Notamacropus eugenii: one gene and its partner. The protein of the gene in region 2 purifies or fractionates together with the protein of the main gene of each other region. This does not show direct contact. Links are inferred from orthologs where the notes say so. Each region holds a gene or a part of one and is shown on either strand. Other genes may lie near its edges.

The links. Proteins that work in one complex are often made in the same cells at the same time.
Region 1: the proteins of STK40 (region 2) and TRIB1 purify together in Homo sapiens (affinity purification with mass spectrometry; 3 studies listed by BioGRID and IntAct, counting the BioPlex papers as one, with this or other methods). This does not show direct contact. The link is inferred for Notamacropus eugenii from reciprocal best matches to the Homo sapiens genes STK40 and TRIB1.

What each region holds. Positions count from the first base shown.
Region 1 is NC_092875.1:118,540,323-118,548,430, forward strand, and holds the start of TRIB1 (tribbles homolog 1), read right to left. Parts: upstream 3,017-8,108; 5' UTR 2,870-3,016; coding exon 2,525-2,869; intron 1-2,524. UniProt on the Homo sapiens protein: Adapter protein involved in protein degradation by interacting with COP1 ubiquitin ligase. The COP1-binding motif is masked by autoinhibitory interactions with the protein kinase domain.
Region 2 is NC_092876.1:83,284,983-83,292,716, reverse strand, and holds the start of STK40 (serine/threonine-protein kinase 40), read right to left. Parts: upstream 3,025-7,734; 5' UTR 3,019-3,024; coding exon 3,000-3,018; intron 704-2,999; exon of another isoform or gene 548-703; intron 1-547. UniProt on the Homo sapiens protein: May be a negative regulator of NF-kappa-B and p53-mediated gene transcription.

The DNA of each region.
Region 1 (8,108 bases), on a different chromosome or scaffold from region 2:
GCAAGTGTAGTTAACTTCACCTCTCTGTCCCTCAGCCACAGATTTAAAAAAATAAGGGGGGGGGGGCTGGACTAGGTAATGTTACACACACCCACACACCACATATACCCACACACACCCCCTCAAGAGGCAATATGGTAAGAGTTGAAAATATCCTTGGAACTGGAATTGAATGATTTGAATGACCTGGGTTAGATTTCTAGTTCTGCAGATTATGTAACCTTTAGGCAAATCACCTAATTTCTCTCAATTGCAATGACTTCACCTGTAAAATGAGGAGGTTGGGCCAGATGACCTCTAAATCCTGTCCACCTTTAAATTCTATGATAAAAAGTAGAGAGGCTGCTTCTCAGCATTCAAGCTGAACTTGAATGTTTAACTTCCACATGGATGATATCCAGAGTTGTGCCTATCTATTCCTGAAGCTGTGTTAAACTCTTATTCCTTGGGTCACATCCTTCCTCCCACTTTCACACTGCCTCTGCCAATACTTTAAACCAGTAATACCTACTAAGTATCCAGAGAATTGGTTAAGCTCCAAGTGCAGCCATCCACCAGTCCTACCTACTTGAGAGGACTCCTCTTAGTGTGCCCCATTTCCCCAAACAATCAGATCCAGCTAGGCAAGCATATCCAGTATTCAATCCCTCTCTATCCCCCCATAGTGTTCTGAACACAGTGGATGCTTTCAGTGTTCACCGACGACTGATTAGAGACTGGGTCCACTCCTTGTCTCTTTTGCCCAGCTCAGCATCAGGAAATCCTGGCTTTATTCCATAACGGCTTAAAAACTGTTGCTGTCAATTACTTAGCAATCTAGAGAGGAAGGGTGCTCATACAAAGTACAAAGAATATGGGGACTCTGCAAGATCCAGGCAGTAAGGAAAGGTAGGTAAGGAAAAACAGCAGAACGTGATTTGGAGGGAAGGAGAAAGATGATTGGGAGAGAGACGGAGAGGCAGAAACAAAGACAAAGTGATACAAAGAGAGACGGAGACAAAGGAAGAGACAAAGACAGATGGAGAAAAAATATAAATCAGTCTATGACACAGCTCTGGGCACTTTAAGCAAGCTGAAGGGTGACTCAGGTATAACCATCATTCATCTGTTTCTCAAAAGCTCAGAGTAAATGCTTTCAAAGGAGGAGTTTTAAATCTACTGATTTTTTTTCCCTTCCCAGGGAATGGGTAACTTCTCTAAGAAACCAATTGTGCTCTTTTAAAGGCCTTTTGTTTTTGCCAGGGTTACTCATATCCTAGACTCAACTGGAAACGGTGACACATGGACCGTCACCATCTGGATCCAGCTATTATCTGTTGGGAGGAACTGGATAGGATTACACAATCCTCAGGTCCCACCCCATCTCTTGTGCCAGTCTGATAGATGGCTAGCAAGGAAAACCCTTCTGCAACTCCCCAACCTCCTCCTCCTCACCCCTAGCCCCCCATTACCACTATCCATAGACATTTCTACCAAAGTGCCCTTTTAGACTGGTCACTTAAGATTTTTTTTCCTTTTTCATTCCCTAAATGCAGCTTTTGAAAACATTTAAAATGCCCCTGAAGTCAGACAGCAGGTGGCGGTAGCCAAACTCAATGACAAAAACTCCATTCAGATGGAGTCAGGTGAGCAGGAGAAAAAATCAAGCTGACCCAACTGCTGAACCCTCAGTTCAGGTGAAGAGGAAGCAGGCAAAGGGGCGAGGAGACTGTGCATTTGTGGGATTCTCTGGGTGGCTTTGGATTTGTTGGAATTGTCTAGAGGATGGGTGCGCTACAGAAGGAAACTGCGGATCCTGTTTCTGGGAATTTATATTCTCGATGTTAAAATGAAAATCCATGTCACCAATTAAAAGGAAGTGAATGAGTGTTCCAGCGGGGCCGGGCTCCTCACTTTTCTATCAGGGAGTGTCAATTCTAAGGATACTGGTTGGAATCTCTCTGTTTCAGGCCCTTGGTGGGGAGTCACAGAATCCCAGGATCGGGATCTTAGAGGTCTTGGGACCCACCCTCTCTCCCCCGGAGGCTTATTACTGGGTGCCCGTTGAAAAGTCCTAGCCCTTCCAAAACGCCAGCAGGCTCCGAGCTGGCAGCCGTGCCAGCCTCCAAGGAGGTACCTCCACCCAATGGGGCTGATAGTGAAGGGTGAGGGGCTGGATGAATTACTTTCCTGGGATGAAGAAGGTAAAGACTGCTCAAAGAGGACAGCTGTTAAATGGAAGAAAAGTGGTTGGGAAATGATGCCTCCCCCACTCCAAGTTCGCTCGGGTCACCTGAGATCCCCACGGAAAGCTTTGCCTCCTCCCCGTGGAAGCCCCCCGCCTGCTCTCCCCAGTTCGTTCCCTGAGGAGCCTTGACCGTGACTGCGCCCTCCACGAGCCTGTGACTCGGGAAGAGGGCTGAATGAATCAATGGCTAAGGTCCCTTCCGACCGAAGATCCCGCCAGACCTTTGTCCACCCTCCCCTCTCCCACGCGGCGTCCCCCGGCCTCCGGGCGGGGGTGGTCGCCGGGGGGCGGCCGTACCTTGCAGCGTAACTCCTGCCCGGTGTGGATGCTCAGCGCCCGGGACACATGCTCCCGCTCGGCCATGGGCAGCAGAAGGTAGCCGGCGATCCGGCTGGGCCCCGGGGCGCTGCCGCCGGGCGCCGAGGGCGAGGGAGCGGGCGGGGGCGTGCAGGGGGAGCTGGGGGGGCTGAGGTAGTCCGGAGGGTTCGGGCACTCGGACAGCCGCAAGCACTTGGCCGCCACCGCGGCTGCCTCGTCGCCGTCCAGGAGGCGCTTGGAAGGGGAGCCCCGGGCAGCGGGGAGCAGCAGGCCCGGGCTTCGGGGCTGGACGTTGCGGCTCATGGCAGGGCGCAGGGAACACATCCAGGTCCCGGAGCCCGTGGAGCGGGGCGGTTAAAGCCCGGATTCCGGGAAGGGCTTGGGAGCGGGGCCCCAAGGTCCGGAGATCCGACGGCTGCAGCGGAGCCCGGGGCGTCTCTCGAGGTCTTCGGGCTTTCACCCCCACGGGGGGCAAAGCGGGCCGGAACCGCTCTAGGGAGCCCACGACGCGGCCGGGGCCGGGGCTGGCCAGCCCGGGGGCCAGCTCTGTCTTCGCCCGCACCCCGAGGGGGCGGCTCGGGCCAGGGGTGTCCCGGGAGTCCCGGCTGGCGGTGGGCACCGCGGGCGGGCTCGGATGGCTTCTTGCCGCCGCCGCTGCAGAGACGATCCGGGCAGAGGGAGGTCTGCGCGGAGCGCGCCCCCCGCTCCGGCTCCGGACTAGGAGAGAAGCTTCGGCAGCCGCAGGCACGGCCGACGGAGGAACGCGGAGACGCGAAGCCCGAGTCCCCGGGCAAAGGCACCTTGGCAACTTTTGGCGGCGCCGGTCCCCCTCCGCGCTCCGGAGCCTCCGCGCTGGCTGAGCGAGAGTGAGTGAGTGTGAGCGGGCGTGAGCGGCGCGCCGATCCCAGGCTGGGCCCTCCTCCTCCTCCTCCCCCTCCTCCGCCGGCGGTGACTCACGCTGTATACACACAGTCCGATTATATGTAAACAGTTGGGAAGCCGGGTTGTGCAATGAGGTGCTACGGCTCCAGCTCCTCGGCCCACCAGCCGGCCCGCTAGGGAGCAGCGCGGGGAGGGAGGGCCGGCCCGGGGGAGCAGGAGGAGGGGTCCGGGGGGAAGGGCAGCGTCGAGGCAGACGGGCGCAGGGGACGAGGCTGGGGCCAGAGAGCCGTGCCCCACGCACGCACCGAGCAGTGCCGAGAAAGAAAGTGGAGCGGAGAGAAGGAAGCAGCAGGAGAGGAAGCTCCCGCGCGCTCCCTCTCGCTCTCCCGGCCTCTCTGAGCCAAACCCGCGGGCCGGGAAAGAGAAGGATTAAAAGTTGCCGTGACGTTAGAGTCCAGGAGCACCGAAGTCGGGCTGGGCTTGGGAGCGGGGAGGAGGAGGGACTTGGGGGCGGAGCTTAGACGAGGCCGGCGCTCATTGGCTCCAGCTCCCCCCATTCACTCCGCGGCGATTCACCGTCTCCGCTCCAGGAGTACAATGGGCTGCGGAGGAGGAGGAGGAGAAAGGTGGGGGGAGGGCAGCGCGTGAGCGGCGTTCTAGGGGTCCTGAGGGAGAGGGAAAGAAAGGGAGCGCGTGCCAGGGAGCGCGCTCCCGGCCTTTGCGGGCCTCAGCCCGATGACTGCGGCGCGGAGGGGGGCCTCGCCCTTGCCCCGGACTCGGCTGCGCCACGCAGCCGCCCCCGACGGGCCCCGGAGAGCCGAGGACAGAGCCCCCAAACCGGCCTGCGCGCAGCTCGAGCCGCCGGGGGAAGGAGGGAGCGAGAGCGCTGGCGAACGACTGAATTCCTGCAGCCTCCCCCGCGCGGCCGTTCCGGGGAAGTCCTGTGCAGACGAGAGTGGATGTGGATGCGATTCCCCCGCTCCTCCTCCCTCCGGGGTGTGCTCGGCTCCACAAATAGCGCCTTCCGTTGGGGGACGTGGAAGCAGACCGAGCGCCTCTGCCATCCTCCCCGCCTCCTCCTCCGGGCTCCCCCACGCCCCGCAGCCGGGGTGGCACGGAAATAGCTCCTGGAGCGCTCCTTCCCGGGGACTCGGGAGCTTCCTGGAGGAGGGCGGCGTGCAAACAAAGAAGCCCGAGCCCCGGCCAGCGGAAGGGCCCCACGTGGCAGCGCTTGGTTCTCGTCTCTTCCCTCTCCCCTTCGCCCCAGGGTCCGCGGGCACCGGGCCAGCCGGGCGCTCCCTCCGCTGTGCCCAGGATGCGCCCGCAGCGCTCTTTTCCTGGTCCGTCCCTTACCACCACGAGCGGGATCGTGCGATTCCGAGCTGGAAGCCTTGGGGATCATCTAGTACAGCCCCCCCCTTATTTTACAAATGAGGAAACAGGCCCAGGAAAATGAAAAGCTTGCACCAGCTGGCTGAGCCCGGATTCCAAACCTAGGGCATGATCACAAGTAACCTCACATTTTCCTTTTCCTTTTCGCCCCTTCCATATAAAGCCGTCTTTAAACATACCTAGCGAAACGGCAGTTTCCCTTTAGAAAACCATCCTAGAACGTTGAGACAGTGACCTCAGTTCAGGATAATAGTCATATTTTCCTTGCACTTGTCCCTCCAAGCCACCACCCCACAAAGATAAAGCAACTGTAGCATTAACATTCCTTCCCTGGCTTCAGATCTCGTTATCAAGGTCACCTTAGGTGACAAAGGACCGGCATAAGCTGTCTAGAGAGGCTGAGGGACTTTCCACTTAAGGTATTACTCACCGTATATCACCCTCCCTGCCCAAAGATAAAGAGGGAAATCAATCGATAAGCATTTACTCGTCACCGACTGTGTACCAACCGCGGAGCTAAATTTTAGAAATTCAAAGGAAAAAGACGATTTCGGCCCCTGCGCTAGCTAACCTTGCTCACAAGGAAACAGGCTTTAGGGAATGGGGTTAGCCCGGATAAATAACCCGATAAGCCTTTTGAAGGCCTTTGAGTTGGGCCTTCCAAGAAGTTAGTGGTGAGGTGGGAGAGCATTCCAACTTGGGGGACAGCCTGCTGAAAAGCAGTGAAGCAAGAGGTGGAATGTTGGCTTCAGGGAACAACGAGCAAGCCAGGGAAAGCCGAGATGCTGAAAAATGCCATTCGATTGCGTATTTTTAAAAAATTTCTGGAGAAGTCATGACAAGCCTTCCTTGGTCAAATGAGCCCCACACTCAGCATTTTTAAACCATTTGGGAATAGAAGGTGAAGCCTAACCCTCCTCAAGTTACAGATTAGGCAACCGAGGACCAGAACACTGAAGTGACTGCCTCAGGTAATTTGTTAGTGGACCTGGGACCAGAAACCAGATAGTATATGCAAGGACTTGGTAAAGTGTGAGGCAATATAGAGATGCAAGTATTATAATTGTTACTATTTCAGCTTCATTAATTTAACTTCATTAAAATTAACCTCATTGAAGTTGGTAGCAAAAGAAGAATACTGACCTTGGACATGTTACTTAGCCTCCCCAGGCCTCAGTTTCCTCATCTAGTCAGATATTAAACACCTACTACTTAGCCTCTGGTAAGTGCTGAGGGTAGAAAAGGAGACAAAAGTCCCTCAAGGAACTTAGAGTTTAATGGAGACTATACACACACACACATACACACATATTCATGTATACATGTAATATAAAGAAATAAGAGATAGAAGGCACCAGATTTTAGAAGGGTTGAGGAAGTCTTCTTGTAGAAGGTAAGGTTTTAGTTGGGCCTTATAAGAGAAGCCAAGGAGGTCCCCAGAAAGAATGATGAAGGAGAATGTTCCAGGCTTGGGGTACAGCCAGAAAAAATGCCCAAAATCAAGAGATGAAGAAAAGAGATTCAGTTATTAGTTGAATAGCCCATAGGCCAGTGTCATTGGATCTAAGTTCATGTACTGAAAAGTAAGGTGTAAGAAAACTGGAAATGTAGGCAGGGGCTGGGTTATGCAGGATTTTGAATGCAAATAGAGCATTTTGTATTTGATCCTGGAGGCAATAGGAAGCCAGTGGAGTTTATTGAGAAGGGGTGACATGGTTGAACCTGTGCTTTAGGAAGATCACTTTAGTGACCGAATGGAGGAGTGAGGAGAGACTTGAGTCATGCTCTTTAGCAGCCTCTTCCAGTAATTGAGGAATGAGGTGATAAGGGTCTGTAGTAGAGTGGGGCATGTTGAAGAGATGTTGCAAAGGGCTTGACAGTTGCTTGGATGTAGGAGCTGGGGGAAATGTGAGAGAGACAAAGAGAAGTTCAGGATGACTCCTCAGTCATGAGCCTGAGAAACTGGAAGAATGTTATTACCCTCTACAGTAACAGGGAAAGTAGGAGGTTGAGGGAGAATTTAGGGGGAAAGAATGAGTTCAGTTTAGACATTTGAATTTAATATGTCTACTGGATATGCAATTAAGGATTTCTAAAAGATGGTTAGAAATGCGAGGTTGGGGGCAGGAAAGGTGGATTTGAGAGTCATCAGCATAGAGAATAGTTATTAAATCCATGGGAGCTAATGAGATAACAAGTGAATATAGACAGAGAAGAGAAAGGGACCCTGAGGGACACCTAGAGTTAGAGAGGGCATGATCTGACTGTGGATCCAGCAAAGGAATAGAGGAGCAGTTAGGTAAGAGAACCTGAAGAGAGTGGTAACCCCCCAAAAAATACAGAAAAAAATATCAAGAAAGACAATGAACAACAATGTCAAAAGTTACCAAAAGGGCAAGGAGAATGAGGATGGAGAAAAGATCACTGGATTTTACAACTAAGAGATCATTGATAACTTTGGAGAGAGCAGTTTCCATGGAATGATAACATCAGAAGCCACTTCCTAAGGTGAGAGGAGAGAAATTGGAGACACCTATGATAGACAGCCTTTTTGAGGAATCTGGCAACAAAGGGCAGCAGAAATAAGGGATGATAGCTCAAATGGAAGGACAAGTGAGGGTTTTTTTAAGATGGGAAGACTTAGGCATGTTTGTAGGCAATAGCGAAGGAGCTAGTAGACTGGGAAAAGTTGAAGAAGGGATAGAGTGGGGACCAGAGAGGGCAAACTGTTGGAAGAGGTTGGCTGGAATGGGATCATTTGAACAAGCAGAGGGTATTAGTGGAGCACCTTGGCTGTTCCGCTATTTCTTGCCACACGACCAATTTTCTTTTGGTTATACAATTCTTTCATGATCTCTTTTACTCCCACTCCTCTTCAAAGGATGCAGAATATTTTAAGGATGATGCAGCTAGGTCATGTAGTGAATGGAGTTCTAGGCTTAGAGCCAGAAAGACGGGAGACGCTTACAAGCTGTGTGGCCCTGGGCAAGTCTGTGCCTACCTTCCTGGGGTGTCATCAGGATCCACTGAGATATTTTGTAAAGTGTTTTGCAAACTTTAAAACACTATATAAATGCCGTTATTATCATTACTCTTATGCTGATGGATAATACACAAATTCCTCTCACTACAATATTTGGATAGCAAGTCTTTGTTCAGTGTTCATTGCTCAACCTTCTGTGATTCTTTTATTCAATAAGTATTTATTCTGTGAGTTCTTCTGTAGTGGGGGAATTGTAATAGATCAGTTTACCCTCCCCAATCTCTTACCACTAAACACCACTACGTG
Region 2 (7,734 bases):
ACCAACCCACCACCTCGGTCCATTCTAATTAATCACTCCTCCCGGATTCACTCCCCACCCCCACCTCTCTAGCCCAGGTAACCTGGCCATCGCAGCCCCACCTCCTCTCCAGCATGTTCCCATCCTTCTCTCTGTCCATCCCTTTTCTCTACCGGCTCTCCTCTTCTACGGAGTCTAGACCTCCAGGCTGCCCCTCGCCCCAACCAACCAAGTCAATCAATCAATCAATCAAACGCATTTATGGAGCTTCTACTAGGTGCCGGGCACCGGGCTAGGCTCAGGGAGCTAAAGACAAGAAAGCAGCCCCTACCTCGAGAGCCTTCCGGTGAAACAACCAGCACTGGCCCTAAACACGGGGTCTTAGGTAGCCCCCCCTTCCACTCCCAGGGCAGCCCCCTCCCCCACCCCGCCCCCGGCAGGTCCTCCCCCGCCCCCTTCTAGGAGGACTCCCCCCTCCCCCGAGAAGACCCCCCTCAGGGCCCCCTTCAGGCTGAGTCCCCCTCGCTGCAGACCCCACTTCGATTCCCCCCCCCACCGCTCCGCTCACCTTCCCCCGGCGCTCAGCGCTCCTCGCCCATAGTCCGCGTCCCGGAGCCGGGGGCTGCTCGGCGCTCCGTCCCGGGGGGGCGGGAGGCCGGGGGGCCGGGGGCGGGAGAGCCGCTCTACCGCCGCCGCCCAGCGCAGCCGCCCGAGCCGCCGCCGCAGCCGCCGCCGCCGCCGCCCGAGCCGCCGCCTCCCTCCATGGCTGCGGCGCCGCCACCTGACAACGGAAATGACGCACCGCCACCCCCACGACCCAGCCCCTCCTCCCCCCCTCCCCCCCGGCTCGGAGCTCCGCCTTTCTCTTCCAGGGAAGGGAGTGGGGACGGCCGACGGCCGGCTGGCTCCCTATCCGGACCCCGGTCTAAAGCCCCTCGCGCCGCTGATTGGCCTTTGGAGAGCGGCCATATTGGTGCAGGGCGGAAGTTGTTCGACTTCAGATCTGAGGGGCCGGACCCTGACGGAGACTGGCTCTTGGTGGGGGCGGGGCCGAAAGGAGAGGGGTGATTGGTGGCTGGTTAAGGAAGGGGGCGGGCCCAGCCGCTCTAGCTCCTTCGGGGGTGAGGCCACGGAGACGGTGACGGCTTAGCCCCGCCCTTCACACCACCCCCGCCGGAATCCTACAGAGCCCTGAATCACCCAGTCGCACCCACCTCCCGCCCCCTTCGGAAATCCGCTCTGACGGTTTGACAGTTACTCAGGGCTGCCGGGCTAGAGGGGGTCGACCACGGGGAATACCGTACTTTTCAGAAAAGCGACGCGACACCCAGAGCCCCAGTTATCCTCTGGAAATGAGTTTTCTGAAGCCATGTGTTTATAGTCCCCATAATAATAATAACTGATATTTATATATATTCACTGTGTGCCAAGCACTGTGCCAAGCGCTTTACAGCTGTTATCTCACTGTAAACAACCCTGGGAGGTAGGGGCTGTTATTATTATCCCCATGTTACAGATGAGGAAACTGAGTCAAGCAAAGGGTAAGTGACTTGCTCAGGTTGCACAACTAACATGTCTAAGAGGCCAGATTTGACTCCAGGCCTAGGGCTCTAAGATTCCTGGACAGGACAGCCCCACACTTCCAGACACAAAGCCCTGGCCCGCAGGTAGATTGTGCAGGTATTTAGAGGGTGATCTCCTTGGGAGCAGGACGGTTTGCTTTTTTTGTTTTCCCTAGCGCTTAGCAGTACAGGCACACAGCAGGAGCTTAATAAATGCTTGAAGACTTGTTGACATGATTAAGCAGCCCAGCTTTCGTGGTTCAAGCCATCAGAATGTCACACTGCCTCACAGCCCTCTTGTGACACCCCTAATCATAATGGGGTCACCATTCCCACCTGGCCTCTCTTCCCCTATTAGAGTAGAAGCTCCTTGAGGGCCTAGACTATCTTCCTTTTTCAGTTTGTTTGCCTGGAACATAGTAATTAATGCTCATTCATCCATTCATTCCTACTTCTGGCCCACTGGGCCACATCCTTCCATCCCATTTATTCCCTTGGCTACCAAGTGTACTACAGTGGGAAAGCTGGAGGATGTAGGATCAGAGGCCCTGAGTTCAGATTTCGGCTCTGCTGCTCACCAGTTGTGAGCTCTGGAGTCCCTTCTCTGGGTCTATTCGTCTTCGGTAAAATGAGAAACCTCTCTTAAAGGTAGATGACCTCTATGATCCCTTAGATAATCTGTCATCTGTAAATCTGTAATCCTATGGTCTCTAAAGCCTCTTCCAACTCTAAAAAAATATGTTATTATATATAATATATACATACATACATACACATATATAATACACACATATGTATGTACACATATGCAGTATATTTGTAAGTGTTGACTCTACATTTTTGCTGCATATATTTGTGTATGCCTTTGTTTACTCTCCCATTAGAATAGAAAGCTTGTTTGGTTATTGTTTCATTCTTTGTACCTGTATCTCCAGTGCCTAGCCCAGTGCCTGGTTAATAGAACAGTTGCCTAATAAATCCTCATTCGTAGATTGATTTATCCTTCCCCATATTTCCTCTACAGCAGGGGTTATTAACTTTTTGGTGTCATGGACCCATTAGACATCATTAGATGCATTAGTCCATTAGACTGAGCTCCTTGAAGGCAGGAGTTCTCTTTTGCCTTTCTTTGTACCCTCAGTACAGGGCCTAGCACATGGTAGGCACCTCCTAATAAATGCTCGTTGACATGATCTGACCCCATCTGGCAGAATATTTTTAAATGCATGAAATAAAATACACAGGGTGACAAAGCAAGCCAATTACACTGAAAGTTATCAAAATATTAAAAAAAAAAAAAAAGAAGCCAAGTTTATGGACCCTAGGTTAAGAACCCCTGCTCTACAGAATCGCAGACTAAGCTGAAGCTGACAGGTTCTACTAAGAAGCCTCAGGTCTCTAGGGACAAGACCAGACAGTCTTCTTCCCTCCCTCTCCCCCAGCTCTGACAAATTTCACCTGTTTCTACTGACTCCATAGGCAGGATCCTCTCAGTCACCTGTTCCCATGTCTCATGGCTCTGAGCTGTCTAACCTCAGTCCCTCCTGCTGCAGTTTCGGCAGCCTATTTCCCTTCTTGTGTCAGCAACCACACCCGTCATGAATCAGCTTCTTGCAGCAGCAGCAGATGGGGCCTTTAAAGAGATTGCATCATGCTAGGTGACTCATGGCCCTCTCTGGGCTTTGTTGTACCTCCCAGAGCTAAGGATCTGCCAAACAGAGAAGCTGAGCCGCCTCGCCTGGCCACAACCAATCTGCCTTCCCCACCTTATCCCTCCTCCAGGGAAAGCCCAGAGGGCTGTCGCCTCCAGGGGAGAAGTGGGAAGCTAAGAGTGCTGGCATATGGATTATGTGTGTGTCTCCCTTTCAATCTTTCTGTAGGGGTATTTCCATGTCTCTCCCTGAGTGTGTTAGGTTTTCACTGTCTCCTTGTCTGATGTTTGTGTAGCCACGTGGATCAAATCTGTCCCTCTGTATGCCAGTTTCTGGATGCCTGTGGGCATGGGTATTTGTGTGGCTGAGCAACCTCTGTGGTTATAAATCTTTTGTGGGATCCAGTCTCCCACTCAGCTGATGGACAACGCTAAGTCCTGCTGCTGGACAATTCATGGGGTTTGGAACTTAGAGGTCATCTAATCCATTTTACAAATGGGAAGATTAAGCCCAAGAGAGGGGAAAGGAAGGGGCCTGCCTGAGGCCAGAGTGGCAGAGCTAGGTCTAGAGCCTAGGTCCTCTAAGCAACTTGGTCAGGTCTGGGTTGCATGGTCTCTAAGGCCCCTTCCGAGATTCTGTAACCCTAAACACAGCGCTCTCTCCACTGCACCATCCTGCCTCCTCAATAGTCTCACCCCTTATCTTTTCTTTTGTTGCTATTCATCCCAATCCTCACCAGCAGCTAGGGGGTAAGAAGTTAGCGTAGGGTGTCATGAAGACCCAAAGGAAAGCAGCTCTGGCTCCTGGGAGAATGTCCTAAAGACAAGATTTCCTTCTCTTTCCTGAAGTAGGCATGAGTCCATGTGTGTATTTGTGTATGTGTGTGATTTGATCCTCTTCCCTACTACATTTTCAAGGGACTGGTCCCCTCATTCCTCCCAGTCCCCATTCACAGTACTGCTATAATATGACATCAACCTGGCTAAGAAATCCCATTTCTTAGCAGGAGGATTCAGGGCAGTGTTCTCCTGTTCTTGCTTTTTGGCCATGTAAAGGTGTTCACACTTACAAGCCTCAGATGTTGTAACCAAATACATAGCTTTGGGGTTAACGTTTCAAAGAAGGAAAGGGTTTGTGGAGATTATAGGTTTGTCCTTCAGCAAACCTGCTAGATAAAATCTTTCACAGAATCTCAGAGCTAGAAGGGACCTCAGAAACCATTTAGTTCAGGGGTTTTTAATCTGGGGTCAATAGACTCACTAACTTCATGGGGTCTATGAATTTGGACAGGGCAGCTAAAGGTACAGTGGATAGAGTGCTGGGCCTGGCTGGAGTCAGGATGACTCATCTTCCTAAGTCCAAACCTGGCCTCAGACACTAGCTCTAAGTCCCTGGGCAAGTCACTTAACGCTATTTGCCTTAGTTTCCTCATCTATAAAATGAGCTGGAGAAGGAAATGGCCAACCACTCCAGTATCTTTGCCAAGAAAATCCCAAATTAGGGTCATAGTCAGATAAAACTGGACAACAACAACTAGACTGGGAAATTACATCCTAATTTTATTAACCTTTGGTTTCCTCCTGTGCATTTAAAACCATTCTCCTGAGAAGGGACCCAGAGGCACAATCTAAAGTTAAGAAGTCCTGGTCTAGTCCAACCTGCACCTAGGCAGGAATCCCTGCTACATTGTACTCTAATAAGTGGCCATCAATCCTGTGCTTCAAGACCTCAGTGATGGGAAACTCACTCTCTCTGAAGGCAGCCCCATTCCCCTTTGAGCAAGCTGGAATTGTCACGCAAGCTGAGTATTAATTTGCTTCTCTGCTTCTAGATCTGCCCTCCTGATTTAGAATACCAAGGGATTTGGCTGAGTGGCTAGGAGAGGTTGAATAAGGGATGCCTAGATGGCCTTGCCTTGAGATGCTACTTTCCCTTTTCAGGGGATGGGACAGGATGTGGCTGGGATACTGGAAAGTCCCTGGAATGTCTCCTAAAACAGTATGAGTTTGGATTTTCCAAGGAACTCATTATCTTCTTTCCTTTGACATTGGCACTCTCCTCTCCCCTCCCCTCTACACTCTGCCTCCCATCCCCCTTCCACAGCTGATTAAAAATATGGGACTTTAAGGGGGCAGAGAAAGAGAAAGAGGACACATGACTACAAGCTATGAGAAAAACCCAACTCAACCCAAAGGTGCCAGCCGGGGAGCTGTCAGCAGGACATAGATGTGGGGAGATTGGTGTGTGGCAACACACACACACACACACACACACACACACACACACTCTACACTCCATCTTCTGCTCTGGGGATGCAGACAGCACTGCCATAACAAAATGACGCCTGTCACAACAGCTTGAGATGGCTGGCTGACGATGCACAGGCTCCCAAAGCAGCTGGTGACTGTCACAGAAGAGAAGGGGAGGAGGGAACAGGCATGCTCACTCACCTCCTGTCCCTTCAGGCTCTCAACTCTACCCTTCCTCTGACACCAGCCTAGGTGGGGGCTTCCCCAGCACGGGGTGGGTTGATGGGCTGGGGGCAAGGGATATATGGCAATGCCCTATGGTGGGAGTCATTTCTCTGCCATGGCTCCTAGGGGGAGGCTGCTATAGGACCAGATGAGTTTCCAACACAGGTTTGTTTATCTGGCCTCCTCTCTTCATCCTTGTCATTAATGTGATGGAAGTAGACCTCTGGCTTGGGAATCAGTAGATATAGGCCTGGAGTCAGCGGATCTGAACTCAAACCCTACCTGCCACCACCAGCATGATTTTAGGTGAGTCACTTACCCTTGTTGGTCAGTTTGCTCATCTGTAAAATAAGGGAGTTAGACTAGGTACTGCTGAGGTTCACTCTGGCTCTGGATCCTATAAGTCTGTCATGCAGCCCCAGCTCTGATCTTGGACATGACACTTCCCTGGACTTTAGTTTCCTATACTTGGGCTAGTTGTTCTCTTGAGGCCTCTTCCTGTCTTTCAGAATCGATTGGTCACTTGCTCATTCCATTAGGAAGAAAAAAAAAAGGCAGAGGTGGATGATTTCAGTCCTGTACCCAGGTCAAACTGAGATCTGAACCCATAGCTAACTACCACACCTTCATTCTTCTTCCCTGAGGGGAAACAATGATCTCTAAATTTTAGTTCAACTAGGGTAAGATGAGCAATAGGCAGGTTGGGTGGTTTCCATTCACCAGGTGCTTGTAACCAGTGGTTACATCTATTTCTCTGATGAAGTAGAAGGGAGAGAGCAGGCCTCTCTCTTTGTCCCTCAAGCTGAGGGCGTAGTAAAACAGTTGGGACATAATCAGGGGATTGCAGTTCCATCTGGATATGCCAAGGCAAAATCGGGACTAAGCTCTCCTTACTCTCTTTAACTCTCTTCCCTTTCCATTACTTTCCTCTACAGAAAAGGAAACAGAATGAAACTCCAGACCCTTCATTTTGTGTCCAGCAGCCTATTCCTCAATGCTAAAAAGCTTGGCATATAGTATTAAATGAGATAATACACACAAACCTCATGACACTATATTAAACGCTGATGACTATTGTTATTAAACTGTTGTAACAGAAATTTGGTGGTGGTGGGGTAGGCACACTCATTTGTAGCCTATATGGGCTGGTCACCCTTTAGCCTGCTACTTAACTCAATTCTATATTAATTTCTCACCAACCTGTCTTCTAGGTTAATCCAGTGATTTATACACTGTTAATAATAATCTCACATTTCCATACTCATTTAAGATATGCAAATTGCTTTCCCCACAACAGAAGTGCAAAGTCGGTAATGCAGATATTAACCCTGTGTGAGGAGAGGGGAGTCCACATCATCGCTGGGAATCTTAGATATGGAAAGTACTTCCACAGAGGCAATTTCAGGGTAACTGACAAGTCTTAGAGAATTGGTTAAACCACTGACAGGTTGAGTGATCTGCCCATGGTGGCAGTTAGTGTGCATCAGAAATAGGACTTGAGCTTAGGTCTTAAATCCAAGGAGGGCCATCCCTCCACTAGTCCATGTTGTTTCTCACCTGAGCTTTACACGGAAAGAAACAAACGCTGTCCTGGATGGCCATGCTCTTTTCCCTACAGCCATCCTTGTGTCCAAGGTGAGTTTCGCTATTCTCCCTGACTACTTTTCAAATTTGGGCCATCTCCAGTTGTCTTGCTCTATATCTGGCCACTGGGCCCCAATGGCTCTGGAGGAGAAGGTGAGGCTGGTGACGCTGCACAGCCCTCTCTCACTGTAACCCAATTCACTTGTGAATCATGGCATCATCTTTCTGATATCACTGGTCCTTTTTGAGAATGAAGGACAAACCACACACATGGCTTTCCAAATCCCGAGTCCCTCATGCCCCTGGCACCTGGCCCCAATTAGGGGTCCTGAGCTCCTCATGCCAGGGTCTGCTTTCACTGGTGCCACTACAGATTCAGAACATTTTAAAAGTCAGCAGAATGCTCCTCAATCTACCTCACATTAGTCCTACCCTCTGTAGGGCCTTTCTCATTCCTGACATTAATTAACCTTTAGTCCTTTA